7 linked regions of the Cricetulus griseus genome follow. The protein of the gene in region 5 binds, or shares a complex with, the protein of the main gene of each other region. Links are inferred from orthologs where the notes say so. Each region holds a gene or a part of one and is shown on either strand. Other genes may lie near its edges.

What was found.
Region 1: Med8 (region 5) and Med7 share a complex: the UniProt entries of both Homo sapiens proteins name them as parts of the mediator complex. The link is inferred for Cricetulus griseus from reciprocal best matches to the Homo sapiens genes MED8 and MED7.
Region 2: Med8 (region 5) and Med19 share a complex: the UniProt entries of both Homo sapiens proteins name them as parts of the mediator complex. The link is inferred for Cricetulus griseus from reciprocal best matches to the Homo sapiens genes MED8 and MED19.
Region 3: Med8 (region 5) and Med26 share a complex: the UniProt entries of both Homo sapiens proteins name them as parts of the mediator complex. The link is inferred for Cricetulus griseus from reciprocal best matches to the Homo sapiens genes MED8 and MED26.
Region 4: Med8 (region 5) and Med24 share a complex: the UniProt entries of both Homo sapiens proteins name them as parts of the mediator complex. The link is inferred for Cricetulus griseus from reciprocal best matches to the Homo sapiens genes MED8 and MED24.
Region 6: Med8 (region 5) and Med4 share a complex: the UniProt entries of both Homo sapiens proteins name them as parts of the mediator complex. The link is inferred for Cricetulus griseus from reciprocal best matches to the Homo sapiens genes MED8 and MED4.
Region 7: Med8 (region 5) and Med31 share a complex: the UniProt entries of both Homo sapiens proteins name them as parts of the mediator complex. The link is inferred for Cricetulus griseus from reciprocal best matches to the Homo sapiens genes MED8 and MED31.

The regions. Positions count from the first base shown.
Region 1 is NC_048600.1:60,992,662-60,994,835, forward strand, and holds the end of Med7 (mediator of RNA polymerase II transcription subunit 7), read left to right. Parts: exon of another isoform or gene 1-21; intron 22-717; 5' UTR 718-734; coding exon 735-1,436; 3' UTR 1,437-1,674; downstream 1,675-2,174. UniProt on the Homo sapiens protein: Component of the Mediator complex, a coactivator involved in the regulated transcription of nearly all RNA polymerase II-dependent genes.
Region 2 is NC_048599.1:90,852,325-90,856,269, reverse strand, and holds the start of Med19 (mediator of RNA polymerase II transcription subunit 19), read left to right. Parts: upstream 1-1,145; 5' UTR 1,146-1,233; coding exon 1,234-1,450; intron 1,451-3,945. UniProt on the Homo sapiens protein: Component of the Mediator complex, a coactivator involved in the regulated transcription of nearly all RNA polymerase II-dependent genes.
Region 3 is NW_023276806.1:247,288,613-247,292,670, reverse strand, and holds the start of Med26 (mediator of RNA polymerase II transcription subunit 26), read left to right. Parts: upstream 1-1,258; 5' UTR 1,259-1,303; coding exon 1,304-1,375; intron 1,376-4,058. UniProt on the Homo sapiens protein: Component of the Mediator complex, a coactivator involved in the regulated transcription of nearly all RNA polymerase II-dependent genes.
Region 4 is NC_048600.1:111,813,063-111,817,030, reverse strand, and holds the start of Med24 (mediator of RNA polymerase II transcription subunit 24), read left to right. Parts: upstream 1-1,168; 5' UTR 1,169-1,230; exon of another isoform or gene 1,231-1,298; intron 1,299-1,625; 5' UTR 1,626-1,676; coding exon 1,677-1,806; intron 1,807-1,893; coding exon 1,894-1,976; intron 1,977-3,968. UniProt on the Homo sapiens protein: Component of the Mediator complex, a coactivator involved in the regulated transcription of nearly all RNA polymerase II-dependent genes.
Region 5 is NC_048595.1:33,902,819-33,906,881, reverse strand, and holds the start of Med8 (mediator of RNA polymerase II transcription subunit 8), read left to right. Parts: upstream 1-1,263; 5' UTR 1,264-1,278; coding exon 1,279-1,311; intron 1,312-1,942; coding exon 1,943-2,061; intron 2,062-2,913; coding exon 2,914-3,058; intron 3,059-3,631; coding exon 3,632-3,772; intron 3,773-3,952; coding exon 3,953-4,034; intron 4,035-4,063. Other genes in the region: KICSTOR complex protein SZT2, read right to left, coding at 212-238. UniProt on the Homo sapiens protein: Component of the Mediator complex, a coactivator involved in the regulated transcription of nearly all RNA polymerase II-dependent genes.
Region 6 is NW_023276807.1:228,014,915-228,019,187, forward strand, and holds the start of Med4 (mediator of RNA polymerase II transcription subunit 4), read left to right. Parts: upstream 1-1,473; 5' UTR 1,474-1,479; coding exon 1,480-1,604; intron 1,605-1,629; exon of another isoform or gene 1,630-1,926; coding exon of another isoform or gene 1,927-2,042; intron 2,043-2,131; exon of another isoform or gene 2,132-2,254; intron 2,255-2,491; coding exon 2,492-2,558; intron 2,559-3,852; coding exon 3,853-4,023; intron 4,024-4,273. UniProt on the Homo sapiens protein: Component of the Mediator complex, a coactivator involved in the regulated transcription of nearly all RNA polymerase II-dependent genes.
Region 7 is NC_048600.1:86,054,533-86,058,494, reverse strand, and holds the start of Med31 (mediator of RNA polymerase II transcription subunit 31), read left to right. Parts: upstream 1-1,162; 5' UTR 1,163-1,304; coding exon 1,305-1,332; intron 1,333-2,328; coding exon 2,329-2,406; intron 2,407-2,677; coding exon 2,678-2,774; intron 2,775-3,962. Other genes in the region: uncharacterized protein C17orf100 homolog, read right to left, coding at 543-944. UniProt on the Homo sapiens protein: Component of the Mediator complex, a coactivator involved in the regulated transcription of nearly all RNA polymerase II-dependent genes.

The sequences.
Region 1 (2,174 bases), on a different chromosome or scaffold from region 5:
TCCAGGCTGCCCTGGTCATTGGTTGGTAATTTTTTTCCTCAGCAGTGAAGCTTCATGATACAGTGACAGATGTCATAAGAGCCTCTTCCTCCCACCACACCCCTTTATTTTCAGGATGCTTTGTATGGGTTTATCTTTGAGAAATTAACAAGTGCTAGTGTCTTTTGTGCTCAGAAAGGTTTTTTGTTTGTTTTTATTTTTTTCAATGCCATTACTGTAATTATGGGTACCTGCCTTCTGCTGGAATGGTGTGCCTTTCTAGATGTCTGCTGCACAGACCCTCTTCCCCCAGATGGGCAGGGAGGGGGTGGCAACAGAAGATCCTAGGCACAAAGCAAAAACAAGACACCCTGCACATCCATCCGTAGGCTGTTATCTTTCTTTTGCCTCAGCAGACACCCAGCTGATGTGTGGCTGCCCTAGCTTCCAATCCCCTCAGATTTTATTTATATATGAAAAAGAGTAACTTGTTTATTTAACTGCTCTGGAAAGCACCAAGGAGATAAAGGAAAACAATAGGGGTGTTAACAACATAATCTTTAATTAGAAAATAATTGATGGCCATTCCCTTTTTGTAAATGTTAGTTTTAAATCTGAGATCATCTTGTCTTGGACCCTGTCCTGTCAGAAGAAGGAAAAACATACTCTGAAGTCACTGATGGTGGTTGGGGGTAGTGTTGTCTGGTTCTGCTCTGAATCTGTGTTCTGTTTCTTTAGGTTCTTGATTGTCGACAATGGGTGAACCACAGCAAGTGAGTGCACTCCCACCACCTCCAATGCAGTACATCAAGGAATATACAGATGAAAATATTCAGGAAGGCTTAGCTCCCAAGCCTCCCCCTCCAATTAAAGACAGTTACATGATGTTCGGCAACCAGTTCCAATGTGATGATCTTATCATTCGCCCTTTGGAAAGTCAGGGCATTGAACGGCTTCATCCTATGCAATTTGATCACAAGAAAGAACTGAGAAAACTCAATATGTCTATACTGATTAATTTCTTGGACCTTTTAGATATCTTAATAAGGAGCCCTGGGAGTATAAAACGAGAAGAGAAGCTAGAAGATCTTAAGCTGCTTTTCGTACATGTGCATCATCTTATAAATGAGTATCGACCCCACCAAGCAAGAGAGACCTTGAGAGTAATGATGGAGGTCCAGAAACGGCAACGTCTTGAAACAGCTGAGAGGTTTCAGAAACACCTGGAACGAGTAATTGAAATGATCCAAAATTGCCTTGCTTCTTTGCCAGATGATTTACCCCATTCAGAAGCAGGGATGAGAGTTAAAACTGAGCCAATGGATACTGATGATAACAGCAATTGTACTGGACAAAATGAACAACAAAGAGAAAATTCAGGTCACAGGAGGGACCAGATTATAGAGAAAGATGCTGCCTTATGTGTCCTAGTTGATGAAATGAATGAAAGACCATGAGTATTTTTTCTTTTAGTGAATAGCATCATATATTAGTTTATTTTCTCTTGGACAGTCTTAAGAGGTATAACTAAAAATATAAAGGGACTTTTCTCAATTGAAATGCTGTAGGTGATAATTTAACAGTAAGGATAGGCAAGGAAGTATATTTGAGTAATGATCATAAAAAAGCAGAATGTTTGCTATTGAATGGGATAGTCCTATTTTTGGAAGTGGAATAAAAATTTTAAGAAATATTGAACTGTCATTCTTACGGGGGAGTTATTTCCTTTAAGACTAATAAAGGGCATCAAACTGTACATGTGAAATTACAAAATGTTTAGATTTATTCCAAAACAATACAGGAACTATTTTCCTGATGACTGTTCTACAAACTCAGTATCACAGCCGCTTCTTCCTTATCTTCCATAAAATATCTGCTAGGGGCTTCCCCTTCCCCCCAGTCAGGTAATCAGTCTTCGGTCACTAAGTTTATGTTCATTTTAGACATTAAAATATCTTATGTGCTAACTATATTTCCTGTGTTAGCTGTCTATGTGAGTGTGAGTGCATTTCCTGCAGAGGCTAAAAGGGTGTTGGCTTTTTTTGGAGTGAAGGTGGTTGAAAGCCATTTCTGTGGATGCTGAGAACCAAACTGGTACTATACAAAGAGCAGAATGTGAGCCACTGAGTCATCTCTCTAGCCTCTGCATTATTCCTTTAAAGCCGACGTCTGGTGTTAAATCTGGAAGTTTGCAA
Region 2 (3,945 bases), on a different chromosome or scaffold from region 5:
AAATATTTAGATAGGGAAGGAATATTAGCTCTATGTTCCACAACCTTCACAGCAAATGTTAATTGTTCTGAAATTAGTGCTTCTAAAATGGTGAGAGGCTCCCCCCTCCTCATGTTTTTGTAATCTCTGTTTTTCTATCCTCCCTGAGGATGATAGTATGTGCAGTTACAGTGGCCAGGGTAGTCGTGCGGTTGCTTTTCCACCTAAGTAATTTTGTTGAGTTAGCGATCTAAGTCGGCCTATCAGAGGGTTTTGAACAAGATTAGATAGCACTTTGTGAACGCTGTGTGACCTTGGGAAAGTCGCCCAACAACACTGAGATCAATTTGCCAAATAAATAAATAAAATAGCTACACTGCGATCAATTTGTCAAATAAATGACTAAAAGTGGTGTTTCTACTACTGGCTTGCCTGCCTTCCTCGCCGGCGCTCCAGGAAGCTTGGCATCACTGCAGAACCCTGTTTATGTGTGGAGAAACCCTGGGATCTCTCTCTCCATCTTAAACAAGGAGGTTAAGACTAGCAGCGGATTTCCATTCAGTCTGTCAGATGGTTACATCCCCAAATCTCCCCCACACTTTCATATGCACCTGCAGGGGCAGGGATGGTCAACGAGAGCTGAGGCAGGGGGCGCTCACCCAGTCAAAGTCACACGGGTTACCATCTTCGCGCTGCGTGGGGAGACCGTTGCAAATCGGCGGCAGTTTCCTCACGAGGAGGAAAGCAGCGGAGAGCAGGGCAGACAGAAGGCAATAAGGTCGAGCCAGCCATCGAGAAAGCCGCGGCACCGAGTACACCAGAGCAATCAGAGGCGCGAGGACAGCCATCTTCCTTGCCGGTTCTCTCGCAGGCTCCGTTCGGCCCCCAGCCCTTCCCTCCGCTGCCCCCCACCAGCGAGGCTTCTATTGGGCCAAATATCAGATGCAACGCCTCCGGACCCGGATGTAGATCTCTTATTGGGTGCTATGATAGATGAGAAAATGAGTTAGACAGTCTATTGGTCCATAGAGTTGTCGCTCTTCTACCTGAGTCATTTTATTGGCTGTAAGACTGCGAACTACTTCCCAAACTGTCTCTTAGAGCGACGGAAGTAACTACAGGAAGGTGGTAGGCGGGGCCTAGTGTATCCAATGGCCGGAAGCTCTTCGAGGACGAGGGTGGTACCCTGGGAAAGTACTGGCCAATGAAAGTCATTAACGCCAGATCCCGGGTAATGCAGGAGCCGAGAGTGCTATGGAGAATTTCACCGCGCTGTTTGGAGCTCAGGCTGACCCCCCACCACCCCCAAGCGCCCTAGGTTTCGGGCCTGGAAAGCCGCCCCCGCCACCTCCGCCTCCTCCGGGAGGTGGCCCAGGCACGGCCCCGCCCCCGACGGCGACCTCGGCCCCTGCGGGCGCAGACAAGTCGGCTGCTGGAAGCGGCCCCTTCTACCTTATGCGGGAATTGCCCGGTGAGTAGTGGGGTCAAAAGCAGCCAATCAGGTACTGATTAGGTGACGGGTGTGGCTTTCAGCCTGCTGTGCGAGGCGTGAAGCAACGGGCGACGCGTGGCCAGCGGGCAACTCAAGTGTCAGAAGCTCTTGGGCGATTCATAACCCTAAGAGAGAGCTTGATTTCATGGGATGGGTTTGGGGTGGGTGTGACTATCTGGGACTACTGGCGAAAAGTTCTGTGATCCGGTTCTCTGACCGCCGTTTGTGACTCTATAAAAACGTGAGCCATTGTTTGGAACTCGGGAGACCTGATTTAACAATTTTGGAGACGCTAAGACTTTAAAGTCTGTTAGGTGTATAGTAAGTAGCCATCCTTGTCAGGGACTCGGAGATTGACATGTTCAAAGAAAATATTAAAATTGAATTAATTCTTTCATTTATACAATTATTTGGAAATTGGGGGCGCATGGCTCAGTGGTAGGACTCTTACCTGCCATGCATGAGTTTTCACAGGTCTTCTCTGAGTAGATAGCATTCAAGAGTAAATAAAGTTATCGGTGGATAGAAAAGAGATACCTATAGATACGAGAGACTTGATCGATCAGGAGGCGGGGGGTGGGGGGGAAGCTTAGAATATCTAAGGGGTCGAAGACAGATTGGACTCCAGTAAAACAAACAAATCCAGTAGTGATGGGAGATAGGCAAAGACCTTTATAAGGCAATGTAGAGTGTTTAAATTTCAAATTGAAGCCATTTCAACATGGGTGCAAAATGATCTAATTTATTGATTTTCAAATATTCAGCAGCAACATGAGGAATGAAAGTAAGATAATCGGATGTTACCAGCCATTGTTCAGGAAAGAAATAATAGTTTGGACTAAATCTTAGCTGTAGAGAAGTGAATGGATAAAGGATACATGTTAGAGGCAGAGCCTACAGAAATAAATATAAAAAGAGAGAATTGGGGGTGTCTTCTACAGAGGGTATGATAGTCTGAGAGTAAGAAGTTGTGGAAAGAAAAAGTTTGAAGGCCTAAAAATCAAGAGGTGTTAGTCTTAGGGATTTGTGGTACTACACACCAGCACTTAGGAGGTGAAGGCAGGAAGATCTGGATTAAAGCTCAGCCTAGGTGACGAGATCCTGCTTCAAAAAAGGTCCTCAGTTCATTCCAGTAACTATTAGCAAAATAATTTCAATTTCATATCAGTGTGTAACAATATGTAATACTTATAGCCCTTTTAGATAAGTATTGTCTGTGTTTTATAATTGAGAAACTGAAGCATAAAGAAATTGACTGTACTTTAGTGATAGGTGTCTTCCAACAGTTTTCTTTATTTTAGTTGTTTTGATTTTGAGACAGGGTCTCACTGTGTAGCTCTGGCTTGCCTGGAATTCACCGTAGATCTGACGGATCTCAAACTCACAGAGATACACCTGTCTCTGCCTCCAAGTGTGTGCCACCATGCCCAGCTTTCTTTATCTTTTGCATTACCTGTTCTAATTGTACTTGTTTGTGTAAATCAGTTGACAAATAGTGATTTCTGTTCTAGGCAAATGCTGGATATGTGGGAATGGAGGGAGGGATGGTGTGAGAAGTGGAGATTAGTAAGCCTGGTTTTTAGGTAGCTTTTTTTTTTTTTTTTTGAGATTCAAAATACATGGTTTAAGGGCTATGCTTGTATTTTTTGTTGGTGTCAATCTTATTACTTTGTAGTCTTGCTTCAGATATCTTAGGGAAAATATTAAGAACTACTTGATGGTTTTCAGAATGTTGTTAGCCAAAATGACAGCAAGAATAAGCTGTCAGCCGGGCAGAGGTAGTGCATGCCTCTAATCCCAGTACTTGGGAGGCAGAGACGGACAGGTTGTGGGTTCGAGGCCAGCCTGGTCTACAGCATGAGCTCCAGGACAGCCAGGGCTGTTACACGAAGAGCCTTGTCTCGGAAAAAAAAACTAAAAACAAAGAAAAGAAAAGAAAAACAATTTGAATGGAAGAGTAGTATAGTGGTTGATTAGGCCCCAAAGCTAAGTTGGCATAAAAGTATGAGTAGAAAGACTGGGGATGTGGCTCAGTTGGTAGAGTACATGCTTAGTAAGCATGAAGTCCTCAGAAAGGGCCAGGAGAACTGGAGAGATGGCTCCAAAGTTATGAGGTTAAGGGCACTTGGTTCTTTCAGAGGACTCCAGCTTGGTACCCAGAACCTACATGAGAGCCTCACAATTACCCCTAACTCCAGCTCCAGGGAACCCAACACCCTCTACTGGGCTCCACAAGCAATCAAATAATATGTGGAATGCATTCACACATCACAACACATATACACACAAATGAGGTAAAATTAAATCTTTCAGGCTGAGTTCACACCTTCAGTCCCAGAACTCTGGAGGCAGAGACAGGTGATCTTTGAGTTCAAGGCCAACTTGGTCTATATAGGGAGCTTCAAGGCATCCAACGAGAGAGGAACAGACAGAGAGACTGTCTAAAAATTTTTTAAATAAATCATTTTTAAAAA
Region 3 (4,058 bases), on a different chromosome or scaffold from region 5:
CCCCCTCTCCCCCATCCCCCGATCCCGGCTAACCCTCAGAAGTATAACAAATTCAAAATTAACAGGGGTCGCCCAGCTCTCAGGAGCACATGTGGTTCCCATTACCTGTTTCCCTTCCGTTTCCAGTCTGGATCTTTAAGGTAACCTCGGAGCCCGCCGCCCGCCCGCCCGCCCTCCTCCCGTCATCTGCAGCGGAGCTCCGGGTCACCCAAAGACGGGGGGTCGGGAGCCCGACACTTAACATCTCGCTTCTCTTGGTGTGGCCTAAAACTCCAGGTGGTTCTGACGCTTGCTTTCCTGCTCGGTGGGGCGTTCCTGTTTTCCAGCACCTGAGATGCAAAGCCAACAGGAAGGGGCGGATGCCGGGCTGCAGCCCCGCCACCTCGGGCACGGCGGTCCCTCCGGCCGGCGACGCGAGCGGCGCTTCCTCCTGAGCGGGTCGCGCAGGCCCTGTCGGAGGCGGCGGTGCCCTTAGGTCCCCTCTGCGCGGGTCATACGGGGACACGCACTGCCCCGCAGACCCGCGCCTCCGGTTTCCACCGCGGCGGCGGCTGCGCAGAACTCTCCCGAGGTCCTCGCGGCGCGGGTCTCCTTGGCGTCGCTCCTGAGCCGGGTCCCAGCCCCCGGCTGCGGCCCTTCATCCGAGGGGAGGGTCCTCCTTCTCCGCACCCCCGAGGCAGCCCGGAGGAAGAGTCCAAGCTCCAAGACCCAGCGGGTGCGCTTCCGTTAGGAAGCTCCGCCCACCGGTTTTTCGGAGTGGGCGTGGCCTTTAGACAGCGTCCGTTGCCCCGCCCAACTGCCTCCCAACGGCTCTCTGGAACGGGCCATGGGGCGTGGCGACGCGACCTGATAAACGCGCGTGCGCGCGCATGCGCAGAGGCAACAGAAGCGGCTCACGAGCCGGCCCCTCCCAGAGCCAGAGTCTCCGCCCGCCCCCATCTCCCAACCTCCTCAGCGTGGCGCCGACGCTGCGTGCGGCGCGGGTTACCCAGAGTGCTCAGCGCGGGGGCAGCTCACTGGAGTTTGGTTCTCGAGGCGGCGGCGGCGACGGCGGCGGCGGCGGCTTCTCCGTCGGCTCCTCCTCCCCCCCTGCTCGCAGCAGCGGCGGCGGCCCGGGGCCCGAGCTCCGGTCCCCTCCGCTTCCCTCCGTCTTCCGCCATCTCCCCGAGCGCCCCGACCTCCTCCGGCGCCGCGGGGAACATGCGGCTCCGTTCCCGGAGGCTGGCGAGCGACTGACCCGCGTCCCCCCGCCCCAGCCCGCCCGCCCGCCGGCCCGGCCGCTCCCCCCCGCTTCGCCCAGGCAATGACAGCGGCTCCGGCGTCTCCGCAGCAGATGAGGGACCGGCTGCTGCAGGCCATCGACTCCCAGAGTAACGTAAGTGACTGCTTGGAGAACGGGGACCGAGGCCGCATGTGCCGGGACCCTCCCCCTCCGACGCGCCCCCGGCCTGGGGGCCTCTCCCGGCGGCGCCCTGCCCGCCACAGCCGTTGCCATCTCGGCCTCTCGTTCTCCCGGGTCCAGGGGCCGCGGGCAAGGCGGGCAGCCCGGCGACTCAGGGTACCTGAGGCCGAGGCTTCACGCGGCCTGGACTGAGGGATCGCTCGGAGCCGAAATCAGACCTGGTTCTCCTCGGTTGCCTCGGCCAGATTGTCCTTGGTGCTTTCCACCTTGCCTCCCTGTCTCTCTTCGACCCCGGGACTTGAGACCCCCCGGAAGGGTCTCCCTACGGGGGTCAAGGTGGGAAGCAACTAGTGTCCCCCGATGACTCTGGTAGCCCGCGTCTCCCTTCGGTCTTCTGGCTGAAATCGTCTTCTTGGGCTCGGAGAGAACCCTAGGCCCTCCTTGTCCCTAGTCTTGCTGCTTGGGATCCCTGGAGAGTTTCCCTTCTTTTCTGATACTGGACAGACCCCAGTTTAATCCCTCCAAGGGTCGCTACCTAGGAAAGACGACCCTGCAGAAGGTGGGATCCTTCCTGTCACCTTTCTTGGCCTAAATGTCCCATTGTGTGTCTGACAAGCCTGGGGTTTTGGTACTGAATTCCTGCTCATCACAGTCGATTGTTCTCTCGCCCCTATTCTGGTCTTCTTTCCATCTCTCTTGCCCCACCTGAGGGACTCGGCCTGGTGTTTGGTCTCTAGGCTGTCAAGAGTTAACTGTATGGGGTCACTTTATGTCACATTTCCCTCTGCTAAGCGTCCTATGAGCAGAGGGACACCCTTTCTTCCTGTGTGAGCATAGGCTAATCTCACCTGTTGTGTTTTTTCCAAAGGTTTGTTGGCAGTGTAGGGAGGGGGTGAGGGTCTTTGTTCCTGGAAGCAGCAGGGCCATGAGAAGATGCACAAGCATCCAGGTATGAAGTGTTTGCTGGGAGACCAGGAAGTGGCCTTTGAGATCACTTTTTAATATGCTCAGGATGGAAAGAAAAATCATCTTGGGCTTGGCCAGGTAACTGAGGTTTGAGCAGGGAGCTCTTTTGGTTCCCTTACTTGTGCTTGGCTTGTTACTCTTAGTAATGTGCCATATTCTGGTGTGTTCCAAGAAATTCACATTAGTTGTGCAGTCTTGGTAGAAATGGAGGTTTCCTGATCTCTGGAAGAATCTGCTTGCCAGATTCAAAGTAAATCTCTTCTTCCTGATCTTGAGGCCCTATTAAGATCACCTTGATACTGATTTAGCCAATATTTTAGACATTTTTGGTGGGTGGAGTAAGGACAGGCTAGATAAAATCTTCTAAAAAGTCTTTTTTTTTTAAATGTTTTTTAAAACAGTGACTGATATTACTGCAATTACATGATTGAGATATTAAAAGATACAAACAAGTGATGTGAAAAATGTAACCTCAGTGGCTTTTGCATGTTTTCTGAAGCTACAATGTACACAGTGGATTTTTTTTTTTTTTTTTTTTTTTTTTTTTTTTTTTGAGACACGGTTTCTCTACCTGTAGACCAGGCTGGCCTCAAACTCACAGAGATCCACCTGCCTCTGCCTCCCAAGTGCTGGGATTAAAGTTGTGCGACACCACTGCCAGCATCCACAGTGTAATTCTTAAGTCCTGTATGTTGACTCGTGAGAAATCACCAGGGATCCTGACTGCTGCCTGTGAGAGTGCTGGGATCAGCTAGTGCTTTGATAGGCAGTAATGATGCTTCGCTTCAGGTGGGGCAGCCTTGCGGGTAAGGCTCTGACTAAAGGATTCTTTTGGGGGTAAAAGAAGGAAGATAGAGGACTCAAATTTTAGTGTGTGAGTGTGTGTGTGTGTGTGTGTGTGTGTGTGTGTGTGTGTGTGTGTGTATTAAGACAGAGCCTCTGGAACATACTATGTCCTTTGCCTTCCGAGTATTGGGATTAAAGGCGTGGGCCACAGTGCCTGGTCCCCAAACCTTTGCTTTTTGAATCTTACCTTGGGCCTAAGTGTTAATATACTCCTTCACCTGTGGGTAAGTTACTTGGAGTGGAGTGTGTATCTCAAAGGGCTATAGGGATAAGTGACCTCATTGTGATGGCTAGAGTTGAGAACTTGTCTCTTAATGAGGAGGGAAGTTTTTCTCTAAATGCAGTGTATCAGTAACTATTCATGAACACTGTCATGTGCTGGCTTTGCAGGACCTCTTTGTAGAACTCAGCCTGGAGGACTGTCCTTGATTTCTTCCAGAGGCATTGAAGGGTACTTTTTCTGGATTGTTCAGGGCCCAAGTAAGAGCTGTGTGCTGGCACAGGGCTCTGCTCTGCCCAGTTATGAGCTCTACCACTTGGTAATTGACACATATTTAAGATGTTCATGGAAAAAAATACAAAATGGGGACACAGTTGAAGAGCTTACACTAAAATTAACCCTCTTGAGAGAAAGTGACAGAGATTGGTGTCATGTAATGCTTACCTTTATGAGTGCAATCATAGCTAACAAATTTAGCTGTTGCTTGGAAAGTCAGTGCCAGGCAGCTGACCTACTGTCCACAGTCTCTGAAATTGGGAGCAGCTCCTTGACCAAGGAGGTCTCTAGAGGAAGGCCAGCTCTGCTGTGTGTTCTAGCTTCTGAGCAGCAAGCACTGTCCTTTCT
Region 4 (3,968 bases), on a different chromosome or scaffold from region 5:
GAGTTCGAGACCAGCCTGGTCTACAAGAGCTTGTTCCTGGACAGCCTCCAAAGCCACAGAGAAACCCTGTCTCAAAAAACCAAAAAGAAAAAGAAGGATTGATCTGGCCCTACTCCTGTTTATATTGTGTTCCAGGTATTTAGGCTCCTATCAGTTTCCTACTAAATGTCTACAAGGCCATTTTCAGAGCCTTTACGGGTTGCTTGATGCTGATTTTCATTCAAAAGCTTGAAGTAGGGAATGTAGTTCAGTGGTACAGTGCTTGATTACCTGTACGAAAAGGAGGGTGGGACTAAAGGGAGTTGTTGGGGACTATAAATGGATTTTGAAGCCACAGGCTGAGTTATCAGTCTTCTTGGGATCTGAGTTTGGGAGTCAAGAAAAAGAGGGGTTATAAAACACTGGTCTGTGGCCTCCAAGTGTGTTTTATAGGGTGGTCTCACCCACAGTACTACATCACATTTTCTTTCTCTAGGCCTTCTTTGTTTGTTTGTTTTTGCTTTTCCAGACAGGGTTTTTCTGTGTAGCTTCAGAGCCTACCCAGGCTCTAGACCAGGCTGGCCTTGAACTCACAGAGATCTGCCTGCCTCTGCCTTCCAAGTGCCAGGAGTAAAGGTGTGCGCCACCCACATCTGGCCTTATTTTTTTCCTTACTTCCTTACAGTATTCAGGATCAGGGGATTCTGGAAGCACTGTCAAACTTTGGAGTGAAATGGTGGTATGTGTACAACTAGCCACACTTCAGTGTCTCTTTTGGAATAGAAACGAGACCTCTAGTGGCAACAGGAAGGGGCTTTGGAGAACAAAAACCAAAAACCCAACAGAAGCCAGGTTGGAACACACTGCATATATAACACATAACACCCAAGTTGTGTCTCGTTACAGGGAAATAACCAGAGTATCAGAATGACTGAAGGTACAGATAGATGGCTATGACATTGAGAGACAGAGTGTTTCTTCCCTAGGCCCTGAGTCTCCTGGTACAAACGTACCTCAGCTCTCTGTATCATCTCAGAGAAAACCTACCAGGAAACAATTACACTAATGCTTTAGCTTGCTTGTGGGCAAAGACAAAGCTTAAGGAACTACAATTCCCAGAAGGTACTGTGGCAGGACTTGCCTCTCGCTACGTTTCTATTGGTCGGTGTCTGTCAACGCGGGCCAATAGTAAATGAGTACCTTAATAGGTGCCAAGATGGCGCTGCCTACGATGTAGAACTCGGTTTTCCGGTAGGCTTAAATTTGGGGAGATGGTGAATGAAAGGAAAGGGAGAATTACAGCTTCAGCGCCGAGGAAGGTAGAGGAAATGGGGAATGAGTAGATCTGGGTTTGGGGTGGTAGTGGTGAGGGGCACAGCTAGAGCGAAGGGCATAATTCGGCAACCGGGGCGGGCTTAACCCCTTCCTGCTCTCTTGAGGGCTTTGGCGTGGCCCGTTTGATACACCTCTGTCCCAGTTCAAGGAACGATTGCTCAGAACGGGAGAGCGTGACAGAAGAATCTCTACCTTGCCGCCCCGGTTTCTACTCTGTCTAGTTTTTCTGTCTCGCTTAAGTCTTTCCGAATTTCCCTTGTGTTTATCTCTCCCATGTGATTTCCCTCAGAACCCCATCTCTCCTCTCGTAGCATTTTTAAACGCCCACCCCGCCACCGGTCCCGCCTCCTTGGAGTGAAATCATGAAGGTGGTGAACCTGAAGCAAGCCATTTTACAAGCCTGGAAAGAGCGATGGAGTGACTACCAGTGGGCAATCAACATGAAGAAATTCTTTCCTAGAGGAGCCACCTGGGACATTCTCAACCTAGCAGGTGTCCAGTACAACGTGAAGGACGGATGGGGCGGGGTGAACCCCGGAAAGCTCCAACCACTTAGCCTTTCTTTAATTCCCCTTGCAGAAGCACTCCTGGAGCAGGCCATGATCGGACCTTCCCCCAACCCTCTCATCCTCTCCTACCTGAAGTACTCCATTAGTTCCCAGGTAAATATTCCCATACCCCAGCCTTTTGGAGGTAAAACATCTGGAGAACAGTTTTCAGTTTATTTTCTTATAAGGCTAACACTTCATTTTTTGTGATGAACATTTCATTCATATGCTCTCTCTATATACATTTACAATTAAAAGTTTATATAATTAGGTGGAGGTTAGAAGACAGTTTCGTGGAGTCGGTTCTGTTCTTCCCACCTTCATATAGATTCTCTGAGGATTTGAACTCACATCAGCAGGATTTCATGCCAAGCGCCGAAATTTACCTGCTGAGCCTTCTTCTTCTTCCTTTCAAGACAGGGTTTCTCTGTGGCTTTGGAGGCTGTCCTGGAACTAGCTCTTGTAGACCAGGCTGGTCTCGAACTCACAGAGATCCGCCTGCCTCTGCCTCCCGAGTGCTGGGATTAAAGGCGTGGACCACCACCGCCCAGCTCCTGCTGAGCCTTCTTGCTAGTCCCTTGTTTTATTTTTGAGACAATGCTGAGGATGGACTTAAATTCCTAGGGCCTGGATGTGCTAGGCAAATGCTCCATCACTGAGCTATATAGCCCTACTCAGTATTTCAGACAGTGGTAGGCCCTGGGGATTTGGTCCTAGTACACAAGGAATGTAGAAGGTGATGCAGACTACCACTAATAATTGACAGGATATGTTTAGGACACAGTATGGAAAAAATGGAAGGAAAACATGGATATGATACCTAGGCCTTTCTGAGCAGTCAGGGAAGTTTTCTAGAGGAAGCAATTTCTTTTTTTTGTTTGTTTGTTTTTCTTTTTCCTTTTTTTTTATGGTACAATGGTTTTATTCTATCTTTTTTTTTTTTTAATTTATTTATTGTGTATACAACATTCTGCTTCCGTGTATATCTGCACACCAGAAGAGGGCACCAGATCTCATAATGGATGGTTGTGAGCCACCATGTGGTTGCTGGGAATTGAACTCAGGACCTCTGGAAGAGCAGCCAGTGCTCTTAACCTCTGAGCCATCTCTCCAGTCCCCAGTTTTATTCTATCTTAATCTCATTTGGTGCTTTGTTTATCTGAGCCTCCACCCCCACCCCCACCCCCCACCCCCCTGTTTTGTTTTTTGAGACAGGGTTTCTCTGTGTAGCTTTGGAGCCTATCCTGGCACTCGCTCTGGATACCAGGCTGGCCTGGAACTCACAGAGATCCGCCTGCCTCTGCCTCCCGAGTGCTGGGATTAAAGGCGTGCACCACCAACGCCCGTCGAGGAAGCAATTTTTTTTAAAAGATTTATTTACTTTATTACTTAACGTGCTTGGGTGTTTTGCCTATATTATGTCTGTTCAAACATGTTCAGGCAGTGCCTGTAGAAGCCAGAGAAGGGCGTTGGCCCTCCCTGGGACTGGAGTTACAGACAGTTGTGAGCTGCCCTGTGGGTGCTGGGAATCAAACCCAGGTCCTCTGGAAGAGCAGTCAAGTGCTCTCACCCTCTGGCCTTCTCTCCAGCCCCTAGGAAAGTGATATTTATTAGAGCTCTTGGTGTTGAGTTGGTGTTAGCCACACACATTAATGAGAGTGGAAGGCAGAGAGAAGTATACACAGGGTGGGACGGAGAAATGACAAGACATTTGTTACTGAAAGTAAGGGCTGGAAATACAGTTCACTGGTAAGGCATTTGCCTAGCATGCACAGGGCTCTGGGTTTGATACCCAGTGCCACAAAGGGGCTGAAGTTAATGTGGCATTGCTACAGCAGAGCTGGACTCTAACATTGTACACACACTTGATATCCTAGGGATTAAAACAGAAACTTTAGGCACACTTGTTTAGAGGCAGGGAGGTGGTTCAGGTAGGAGAGTGCTGTCTAAGCATGGACAAAGTCCTGGGTTTTTGATTTTTTTTTTTTTTTTTTGGAAGTCCAGGGGTAATTTTACCAGCATATAAGGGAAAGCACAGTGTAAGTGAGGTAACAATCCTGGCAGCTGCCAGGAGGAGGTGAAGAAAAAGTCATACCTTCTAAGTCA
Region 5 (4,063 bases):
CAGCTTCAGCGTGGCCCAATGAAAATCGCAACTAATACCCCAAACACGAAGTTTTGTCATTACAACCATCTCTAGATCTGTGGGTGGGAGATGAGGATCAGGATGACATCTGAGTAAACAAAACAGCTACGGCCTCCTCGAGGCTCCGGAGGGTGGAGGCTGCTACGCGCCTGCCCTCTGGGCCTCGGTCCCGCGCCCGCCCGCCCCTCACCTCTGGCTCCGGGCGCTCCGAGGCCATCACACAGCCCTCCCGCGCCGGCCCGGGCCAGGGAGGATGCTCCACTCCTGACCTCTGACCCAGCTAGCTCGGTACCGGGCAGGAACCGGAAGTCGTAGGGATGGCCGCGTTCTGAGTTTTTTGATTGGTGGGCACAGACGGCGGCGCGAGAAACCGGAAGAGGAAGTGGTTGCGCCAACCGGGCCGTGGCAATGCAGGTGAGAAGCCGGTTGGGCCTCCCAGCCGCTAGCCACCGGCTGGAGGGTGGGCGGGCCGAGGACTCTGGGAAGTTGGAGCTGTGAGGATAGGGCAGAGGCCTCGGCTGTTTGGGGAAAGGCGGCGAAGCCGGAAGGGACGAGGACAGCTGCGGGGGGCGCGGGGATTTAGCGCGCTAACGCCAGAGGGTCAGAGGCGTGGGTTAGGGGGAAAGGCACGGCCGACTTGCTTGACTGTGTGAAAGGATCGAATTGGCATTTGGGAAGGCTAGAGAAAGAAGTGGGCTGGGACAGCCCTCGACCTCGACTGTTGGGCACAGGCGCAACAAGGCTTCAGAAGGCTGAAGGGATTGTGGGCCGCCAAGGACGAAAACTAAGCAGTTTGTAATCCGAGGCTGTGGGTGGAACCTAGTATCCAACCTCATCCTTCACATTCTCGGGTTTGCAAATCAGCTTTGTGTCATTCTTCCCGCCTTGTACCCCGTTGCTTAGGGCGCAGAAGTGGAGTAAATAGACCACAGATGGTCAAACGGAAACCCTCTGCCAACACAGCATTTAAAATTGTCTAACGTCCAGAAAGAATGTGTTGGTTTCCTCGCCTTTGTCTTCCATTACTCAGTTTGTTGCACCTGGTATTCCTACAGTGACTGTTTATGGGTCACCCGAGTTTACGAAAGAGACACTGGAATACTGGCACAGAGATGCAGGAGTACACATTGACTCAGCAAAGGACCAGTTGGGGAGGGGAGCTGCAGAGCTGGTGTTCAGAGACAGCCTCAGATACGGGCAAAATGTGAGATTCTCCAGATTGTGTTGAGAGTAGCTGCACTCACAGGGCAGAGGATAATGGCTTGCATGTACTATAGAGGCACCCATGAGGTAATGAGATAATGAACCTCAGGTGTGCCTTCTGGCCTTATATGCCGACAGCACCCCTGTTACCTTGGCAAACCTTTCTAACATGTACTGAACTTTCTGAAAGAAATGTGGCAATACCAACTCCACAGAATGACACAATACAAGGATTCTCTATATGCCCAAGGAAAGCAGAGTTAGGACATCAAGCAGCTGCGTGGTAGGCAGACTGTTTTCCAGAAAAGGCTAGACTTAACAAAGAAGATTGTGCTTTGGCTTGAGCATCTGCAGATTAAGAGAATGTTGGCTTTTAAGAGAGGCAGTCTTTTGAGCTGGGAGGAGAAGAGAATCGAAGTGAAAAGATGAAGGGCTAAGTGATAAACAGTTCTAAGCCAGTTTTGTTATGAAGACAAAATGGTGAGGTCATAAGCAGAAGGGAATTAGGTCTGGTGTAATGTTCCTTTTGAAGGGCCATAGTGTAGGAGGTTGATAGAAGGAATCAATTGGTAAGAGGACTTCAGGCCAGGTGAACAGGTTGAAAGGTCTAAGGGTTGATGCTGTCTGTAACCCAAATACCAAGATAGAAACCAATTTAGCTTTTCTGTATGTGCCACGATCGCTCGTATCTGAGTAACCAAGCATACTGTTGATGCAGAGGGAGGAGAAGCAGCTTGAGGCATCCTTAGATGCACTGCTGAATCAAGTGGCCGATCTGAAGAATTCACTGGGGAGTTTCATTTACAAGTTGGAAAACGAGTATGACCGGCTGACTTGGTAAGGATTGCCAGGGCAAGCCGGGGAGGGAATCCATGGGTGGTGGGGCCAAGCCCCCGGGCTGACAGGACATCTCCAATGATGTAACTATTTATCAGTTTGCAAATATCCTTTTTGATTTGGCAAGAACTAGGTTGCCCAACATTGACAAGTATAGTTTGGCTTAAAGCCTCCATGGCAAGGAAGTAGAGAAATGCCCAGTTTCCCAACGTAGGCTGTTTCGAGGTTTTAATTCTTACGCTTTGACTTCTTTGGTGAGGAGGTGTTCCCCCAGTGGGGAACCATTAAAGCTATATTCATGCTGGATCTCCTTCCACAGATGTGGCTGAATCTGAGATCCACCCTACTCTGGAATGATGGATTCTGTTAACTAGGCTAGAAAGGAGGCTTTTATCCACTTAAAGAATTTTTAGTTACCACAGTGTAACCACAGTTTCTGTTTTCCACTACCTCCAATCCCATTCAAACAATGAGTTACGACTGGCAGTGGTGGCACACACCTTTAATTCCAGCACTCAGGAGGCAAAGGCAGGTGGATTTCTGTGATTTTGAGGCCATTCTGGTCTACAGAGTGAGTTCCAGGACATCCAGGGCTACACAGAGAAACCCTGCCCCCTCACCCCCCCAAAAGGAAAAGAGTTGCTTTTTTTCTACGTCTGTGTGTCCGTGTTGGAAATTGACAGTGTGCTCCTCTTTCCCAACTCCATCATCTCTGCTAGAAAATCTGGTTCTTGCCTAGGCTAGTCATAGGGCTGTGAGTCTTCTGGGGGTGAGTCTGGGTGTTCCAGCATTAGAACTTTAGAGATTACTTTATAGGGAAAAGTAGTTCTGATGACTTCCTACCACCCGCAGGCCCTCTGTCCTGGATAGCTTTGCATTGCTCTCTGGACAGTTGAACACTCTGAACAAGGTCTTAAAGCATGAGAAGACACCACTGTTCCGTAACCAGGTCATCATCCCTTTGGTGCTGTCCCCAGATCGAGATGAAGACCTCATGGTAAGAAGAAAGGATTGAACCAGGGAAATCAGGTCCTTAAATGAAAGTCTGGAGCACAGTTGTTGATTGGACCCTCTGTATAGCAATGAAAAGTAGGGGCTGCTATCTGGAAGACTTGCTTTTTTGTCCTTCTGGAGTCAGGAGTCACTCTTAAATAATGTTGTGAAAGCCAAGGCCATGTCAACTAAGTCCATGACCTTTCTTTTCCAAAAAAAAGTCTGTTCTGCTTGCCTGTAACTTTGTCCAATCAGTCTTTAAAATGTGGGGTTAGGAATTTAGCTCAGTGGTAGAAAAAAGTCCTGGTTTGGTCCCCAGAATGGGGGTGGGGAATCACGAAAGACCAAAACAAAATAGAAACAACAACAAAAAGAAAATTACAGTGCGGTTGTGGAGGGTGGAATTTATTTTGTCCTAGTTCTGATAGAGTGTATGTGAAAAGACAAAGCCACAGAAAGCTACATTTGTGTCTCAGGTTGTGTTGTCTCTAAAAATGCAGTTTCCCACGGAAGAGAAACTGGGTTAGAATCGGCTTACTTGGATAGCACAATAGGATCAATACAATCTGTGTTACAGCGTCAGACTGAAGGACGAGTGCCTGTTTTCAGCCATGAGGTCGTCCCTGACCATTTGAGAACCAAGCCTGACCCTGAAGTTGAAGAGCAGGAGAAGCAGCTGACAACAGATGCTGCCAGAATTGGTGCTGATGCAGCTCAGGTTGGACTGAGTCACTGCCCTGCTGCCCCATCCCCATCCCTTCATAAGAAGCAAGACTTTACCAAGCCTGGGTAGTAGGAGTCTGTGGTTGGTTACAGCTAGGCTGCCTTTGGAAGAGCACAAGGAAGATGCTTTCCCAGAGTCATTTCTAATCACTACATCAATTCCTGTGTGTTGCAGAAGCAGATCCAGAGCTTGAATAAAATGTGCTCAAACCTTTTGGAGAAAATTAGCAAAGAGGAACGAGAATCAGAGAGTGGAGGTAAGGAGGCTGGTTGGCAGAACAGAGTG
Region 6 (4,273 bases), on a different chromosome or scaffold from region 5:
AAGATTGGGAGGACGTGGGTTTTCAATGTTGACAACCGGTCCTGCTTTGGAATATGTACTTTGTCAATTATTTACACTAATTTTTTGAATTGCTGTTCACACACTCTATTGATTCATTCGGTTTGCCAGTCATCTTGACTAAGGAGCAAGGCATTTTGTAGAAAGATGAGTTCTAAAAAGTAAGAAAGAAACCCAACCAAATGCCCATCAGAGGGTGGGTATGGTGTGCACAAGAGTGGAGTGGTGTTCAGACTTCAAGGGAGGGTATTTCTGGAACCTATTCCAATGTAGATGAAACTTAAGGGCATTTATGCTAAATGAATTCAGCCTGGTGGAGTGGCTCAGCATTCAGCATTGGTGGCTCATGCTTTTAATCCCAGCACTCAGGAGACGGAGGCAGGCAGATCTCTGTGAGTTCAAGGCCACCCTGGTCTACAGAAAGAGTTCCAGGACAGTCTCCAAAGAAATACAGAGAAACCCTGTCTCAAAAACCAAAAACAAACAAACAAACAAGCAAAAAAAAAGAGTTGGATATGGATGCTATTTAACAGCAATTTTGTTTTGTTTTGAGACAGGGTTTCTCTGTGTAGCCCTGGCTGTCCTGGAATTCTCTCTGTAGGCCAGGCTGGCCTAGAACTCAGAAATCTGCCTGCTTCTTAAGGTGTGTACCACCACTACTCTTATTTAACAGCAAGTTAAGGCCAGTGAACTCTATACATACAGTGGCTAAGATACTTAATTTAAATAGCCCAGTGGTGGTGGCAAACACCTTTAATCCCAGCACTCCAGGGCTTGGGGTGTGGCTCAGTGGGTAGAATGCTTGCCTAGCATGCTTAGAGCTCTAGGTTTGAGCCACAGGTGTGGTAGTACATGCCTAGACTACATGAGACAGTATTTAAAATTAAAAAAAAAACTTTTTAAAAATTAAACACTTGATATCCCAGCACTCCAAAGGCAGAGATAGGCAGAGCTCTGAGTTTGAGGCCATCCTGGCCCATAGAGTGACTTCCCGGATTAAAAAAAGATAGTGAATTTTATATGTATATATATTTTGCTACCAAACAAAAGAATGGGGGGGGGGGAAATGTTGGTTCCTGTCCTAAGATGTTTACTACAACCTCATGAGAGAACTATCTTAACGGGCTTGATAATATTATGGGAATGCAGACAAAATAAAAGTTAATAATTGTGCAATTCTCTCGCTTTCTTAAAATTCGTTTATTAGCAACTTCCCATTGCAGCTAAGGAAACAGGAGATCCAGGAGACTGGATAGCTCTCTCATCCTGGGTCCGGCTGGAGCAATCCCTCCTCTGCGCAGCAGATGGCGCCAGAACTGCAGTGCACCTCCAAGACCGTAGGCGGCGCTCTAGCGGAGCCTCTCTCTCACCACCTCTATGACTCTTCCTCCCGTGTTCCGGTTCCGCCCCTCCTGCCGCTAGCTCACTCTGCGCATGCGGTTGTTGGCGATCGGCTGGGCGATGGCGGCTTCTTCAAGTGGGGAGAAGGAGAAGGAGCGTCTGGGCGGCGTCTCGGTAATGGCAGGCGTTGGCAGCACGCGCGAGCGGCTGCTGTCTGCGCTGGAAGACCTGGAGGTCCTGTCGAGGTAACCGCGGCCCGGGAAACCTGCTCGGGCCGGCCCTGCTGTGGGCGCTGACTGGGGGTAGGCGGGCCGGGGAGTGTCGGGCCGGAGCGCGAGTGTGGGGCACCTGGGGTCTGCGGCCTTCCGGGGCTTTGGGCGGCATGTCCCCACTAAGGGGACATCTCAGCGACCTGGAGCCCCAAGACAGTAAGGAAGGGCCCGGTCCACGGACACTCAGCCCCGGAGTGCCAAGTGCAGGGATGCTGTAGTCGAGGGAGGCTGGGTGCCAGCACCAGGGAGCCCTGCTGGGATCACGAGCCGAGCTGCAGCCTTCTGGAGTCCACGGATGGGACCCCTAGTCCGGTGTAAGCAAGGCGAGCTTCCCAAACCAGTAGGCTGTCTGGGGAAGACATCAGACTCGTTAGGCGTCTGGCAGATGATCCCATCATCCCGGAAAAAAAGGTCAGAAACGTGCAGGACTTGGTGGGATGGCTCCTGTGTGGCAGAAGTAGATTAAGTTGGGTGTCATTCTCCATATTGTCATTATAAAGTCGATCAGTTGGAGCCTTGTAAGGGCAGAGCCCCATCGTCATGGCAGTCAGTGCTATCTTACAAGAAAATAATTTCCACAAGCTGTAGCCCTCCTGGATTCGGCCTGCAGACCCACAGTCCAGGTCAGATAGTTTTCTTGTAAATCACAACCATGAAGCCAGTAATCGGTTGGGACAGAGAGCAGTTAAAACAGTTTCTTTTCTATTTATTCTCACAGGTTTTTATTGTGTTCTTAAAAGGTTTCACTTGGTAGCTCAGGATGGCCTGAATCCCCCCTCCCCCCCACCACCACCCTACCCCACCCCTTTATCGAGTTTAAGGCAAGTACCACCGTACCCTGATGGTTGCTTTTCTTTTAGGGAACTTATAGAAATGCTGGCAATTTCAAGAAATCAGAAGCTGTTACAGCTGGATGAGGAAAACCAGGTAAACGGTTTCTTTTTTAATCTAAAAAAAAAAAAAAAAATGGTGGCTCACACCTTCAGAGGCAGGCAGATCTCTGAGTTTGAAGCCAGGCTGGTCTACAGAGTGAGTTCCGGGACAACCAGGGCTATGTAGTGAGATACTGTCTTGGAAAAAAATAAAATAAAACTCTGGTTTTTAAAAAAAGTATCAGTTTAAAGATTTCAAGTACGTTCTGTTCTCAAAATGAATATAAACATACGCTCAAACCATCTTTTTTGTTTTTGAGACAGGGTTTATCTGTTCGGTTGTCCTTGAGCTCTCCAAGATCTGCCTGCCAAGATGCCACCACTGCCCCTCTCTCTTTCTGGGTTTTTATGTAGCCGGGGCTTGCCTTGAACTTACTGGTCCTCCTACCTTTATCTCAGTGCTGGAATTGTAGGTGTGGTCAACACATCGGCCTGCTGAGCTCTTCTGTGTGTTCCAACCTCCCTTACATCATGAGTCCTTAGAATAGTCTGGCATACGATAGGTGTTATTGGGGAAGTTTTCTTTTTAGAGGAGAGAATAGGCTCATGGAGGGTGGTGACTTCTTTTCCTGTGACTTACTGCTAGCAACTGAAGGGTTACAAACTAAACCCCAGGCTTCTGTTCTCTCCTTAAAACTCTGCTTATATTTTGAAGGGGAAAAAACCCCAGCTCCCCCGCCACAACAAGATAGCATATTAAACTTGGTGGCATTTTTCCATATCTGCATACCATTTATTCATTATCTATTTATTCATTCTTTGTTTTTCGAGACAGGGTTTCTGTGTGTATCCCTGGCTATCCTGGAATTCACTCTGTAGACCAAGCTGGCATTGAACACAGAAATCCACCTGTCTTTGCCTCCTGAATGTTGGGATTAAAGGCGTGCGCCACCAACGCCCGGGTGTATCTCAAAGTTTTAAAGTGTTTGGTGCCAACTAAAGTCACTTCAAACCATTAGATTTTGGAAGAGCTTTTTATTATTCCGTAGTATAAGGATAATTTTTTTAATTTTATCTTTGGAAGATGAATAAACTTGAAATTTGCACAGTATTACTTCTGAAAGATATGTTCTACATGGAAAAGGACCAGAATAAAAATGGAAATTCTTGATATTAAAACTTGTTTCCTCAAACTACCCCAAATGGGCTATGTATATTGTTAATGCTGATTAAGACTATTCCGGGTGTTAAAACTGGTAAACCTAGCCAATTCAAGCATGGGTTCTTTGTCTCATTGGTGATAGCCTTGATAACCCTGTTGTCTGATGGAATCAACTATTATTTGACAGGTCTTGGAGCTGCTAATTCACCGAGATGGGGACTTTCAAGAACTGATGAAGTTGGCACTTAATCAGGGAAAAGTCCACCATGAAATGCAGGCATTAGAAAAAGAAGTCGAGAAGAGAGACAGTGATATTCAGCAGCTGCAGAAACAGCTGAAAGAGGCAGAGCAAATCCTGGTGAGTTGACGGTTGGTCCTGGAGAGGCGGCTGTTAAGTTCTCTCCTCAAAACTCTTGTTATATTTTGAAGGGAAAAAAAAAAAAACAAACCCAGGTTACCCTCATCCCCCCACGAGACAGCATCTCTGTATAGTGCTGGCTGTCCTGGAACACACTGTATAGACCAAGCTGGCCTTGAACTCAGAAATCCAGCTACCTCTGCCTCCCAAGTGCTGGGATTAAAGGCGTGTGCTGCCACCACTACCCATC
Region 7 (3,962 bases), on a different chromosome or scaffold from region 5:
CCCTGACCTATTTAAAAAATAATAAAAGCCTGTATGTGGAGTACTGTGTATAAAAACTTAACATAGGAAAGCTTATTATGAAATACAAATAAAGGTCAATTAATAATCCATGAAAGATGATTCTTTGTTCTATTGGTTTCAAGCACTATATAATCAAGCCAGTGGTCATGAATTCATGACAAGTTTGGTCCTTCTTCGCAAATTTCAAGTGGTCAAACCATTCTAGAGGGACCTCAGGCTACGAAACTTACCTGGTGCAGAGACTCAAAGAGCCTCTTTGTCCATCATCAGCCGAGTATATACGCACCGCAAGTCTGAAGCCCTTCTGTGCTGGCTTCGAGTTAAATAGTACACTGGGTCAACAGCAGGGTGGTCTAAGGTGATGCAATCTCAATACATGTTGGCAGCACCCAGAAACCACAGCCTGTTTCTTACATTGATTTACAGGCTGTTTCCATGAAACCAAAGATGCTTGGCTCTCCTGGAAGCTGGCTGGCTGGCAAATGGAAACACTTCAGTGCTGGCTAAGGGCCATGGCCACTTCATCGGGTCATTTTGGCACTCTGGCGAGCTGTTTGCTTGTCCCTCCTGGCTGGGCTCTCTACACGGTGCACAGTCGTCTCCACCCGCAGGGATGACGACGCCCTGACGTGGCTGGAGGACGTCTCCGTGCACTGCGAGGAGGTTTCCACGTGCTGGGAGGATACCTCGAGGAATCTAGGGAGTCGCTTCGCGGAGGAGGTCAGGGAGGGTCCCTCTCGGTGGCGCTGAGAGGTCTCCACCTGACGAGAAGACGTTCGAACCTGCCGGGAGGACGTCTCCACGCGGTGGGATGACGTTTCCTCGCGGTGGGACGACGTCTCCACGCGGATAGTCGACGTTTCCTTTTGGCGGGTGCTTTCCACTCGCGGGGCGAAGGATTTACTCCTAAGGGGCGAGGCCATCCTGCTGGCACACCCAGGTCAGAAGGGACACAGAGGCCCAAGACTCATGCTCTGTGTCACGTCACACAAGGGACGGTGACGTCAGGGTGATGAGCTACGTCAGTGTAGGCTGCTGCGGGCCACATAGGATCTGCGAGCAACGAGCTCTTCCAGCACGCGCCGCTAGATAATTGCTCAGGCTGCCGGCCCAGACCACACAGATAGGCGGGGCCTCTCTCCTCAGAAGGAGGCTGTCTCCGCCCTCGCGTCCCACATGCCCCGCGACCGGAAATAAGAGCCGTGGCTTCCGGATCCTCCCTCACCATTTGAAGCCGCGGTTGGGTCGGGCTGGTTGTGTTCGCGTCTCTCTCCTCTCTGGTTATGGCCGCGGCCGTCGCTATGGAGACAGGTTCGTGGTGTCGTGCTCCTGGAGTCTTCACCGAGGGAACGGGTCCTCCCCCCTTCTCTCCGGTTTCCCCGCGCCGTCTTTCGGGCTTAACCCGGCATCCTTAAGGAGTTGGGATCGGTGGGGGAGAAGGCGGTGTTGTCTCTGATTGTGGCCTGTGTGAACGACATCTTTGCTCCTGGGCTGCTCACACCTCCACTCCCTGGCTCGCGGGCCGGGGTGGGACTGAGGGAGAGGACCGAGCCCTTCAATTGTCTGCTCTATGGAGCTTTTCCCGTGAACTTGCTTGAAATGTTTGTAACGTGTATGGTTCTGATACGGATTACCGTCTCCTCCCCGCTGTTTAATCATTTTGCATCTTGCTTCCTGCTTTTATTTAGCACTTTGTTTTTGTTTAACTTAATCACTGTTAGTAGTTGTGGTTGTAACGCTAACATTGGGGGTGGCACAGCTATTACAGACCAACCAGTGATCTCTGTTACCATCCTCCCATAGTGGCCTTAAATAGCCGTTTCGTTTATTTTTCTCAACTAACTTTAGGTAATTTATTATCTTTGTTTTGTTTTGAAGACAGGGTCTCACTATGTACTACTGCCTAGCCTGGAACTGGCTATGTATACCAGGCTGGCCTGGAATTCACAGAGATCCTCCTGCCTCCCCCTTACAAGAACTGGGATTAAAGGCATGCACCACTCGGCTTGTTTTGTTTTAAACCAGGCTCCACTCTGAGATTTCTAAGGAAATCTCTCCTGCAGTTTGGTATTTGTTTCATAAATTCATTCCTATGGGGGTGGGCGGTGCATGCCGAGGTCAGAGGACAACTTGCAGGAGTCTACTGTTCCTGCAACCCTGCGGGTTCCAGGGATGGAGCTCAGGTCATCAGACTTTTCTGTGAGCACCTTTACATGCTGAGCAGTCTCACTGGCAGTTTGTTTTTGTTTCTACAAATCATTGGTATCGTGACTTTTATTTTGGGTGTCTTTTACTTTTTTCTCCTAGATGATGCTGGAAATCGACTTCGGTTTCAGTTGGAGTTGGAATTTGTGCAATGTTTAGCCAACCCAAATTACCTTAATTGTAAGTCGAGTACATCATTAAGTTGAGTAGCTAGCTGTTAATGATTTCTGACAGAAGAGATGGAATTCATAATAGTATTTACTTCGGTATGTTTGAATGGGATTTTACTTTCGATGGTCTGTAGTTATTAACTGAGCAAACAAGGACTTGTGTTTTTTAATTCCTTGTGTTTTGATGGTAGGAATGTTAAAAGAGCTACTTTATTGTAGCGATTACAAGTCAGTAGTCCAGCAGTTGGTTGACATACAGATTGTTTCTTTATGCCTTTCAGTTCTTGCCCAAAGAGGTTACTTCAAAGACAAAGCTTTTGTAAATTATCTTAAGTACTTGCTTTACTGGAAAGAACCAGAATATGCCAAGTATCTAAAGTAAGTTTAATTTTTATAATCTTAAATCTGTGTATACTTTATTATAAATACGAAGTGCTTATATTTAGCAGTTTTCTCGGTGTCAGAATGGCAAACTATGTTTTGAATTTTTCTGCTTTTAGTTCATGTCATGTCATTGTCATTTCTAATTTGAATTGTTACAGTAATCTCACTTATTTCTGCTGTCATTCTTACCTCACTCCCTTCAAACCAAACAAAGCCAAACAGTTGTCTGTCAAAACCAATTTACTGTCTTAGTAGTATAAATCAGAACATGCCACTTCTATTCATGTAGGATAAAATCCAGTAACTAGTTTTAGAGTAAGACTCTGATTTGATTTGGTCTGTCTGAACTTGTCATTTAGCATTCCCCTTGTCTCTCTGGGTTTCTAATGCCTTCCAACCTATAAACTACTAAAATGTAGTGGTATAGCCATAAGCTGAAAATGAACATATAAGAAGTGGTGTTTTCTGGGAGTCTTAGACTTACTGTCTTCTTTATAGTTTCCTATGTGTCAAGTACTGTGCTAAATGTATCGTGCACATTAACTCACTGTAAACAAAAGAAAGACAAACATGAACACTGTCAAGTTGTTTGATAGACAATTGTGAGAAACATCACAACTACACAGCTATCCCTTTGAATGGTAAAACAAAACCTTGAACTCACCCCTCTGCTTTGTCTTAATTAAAAAAGAAAAACAAGCTGGTACACACCTTTAATCCCAGCATTTGAGAGGTAGAGGTGGAGGTGGATAGATCTCTGAGTTCAAGGCCAGCCTGGTGTACAAAGCTACTTCCAGGACAGCTAGGGCTACACAGGTAAACCCTGTCTTGAACTCCCCCTCCCCTAAAAGGGTGGACAACAACAACAACAACAAACCCAGAAATTTTAGCCTGATGCCCCTTTAATCCCTGCTCTCAGGAAGATCCGGCAGATCCCGGTGAGTTTTAGGCCAGCTTAGTTATGTAGCAAGTTTCAGGCCAGTCAAGGCTACATAGACCCTATCTTAAAAATTAGAGGGAAACATTTCAAGCCTTTTCTTTATATCCTAGTCACTTTTCTGAATTGATCCTGGACTGCCTGTAGAACAGATTGCACCGGATTTGCTCTTTATGATGCAATTATTGATTCCTTTAGGAATCTGAAGGAGAGACTTTTAAGTTATTAGGCTGTTATAACAGTGC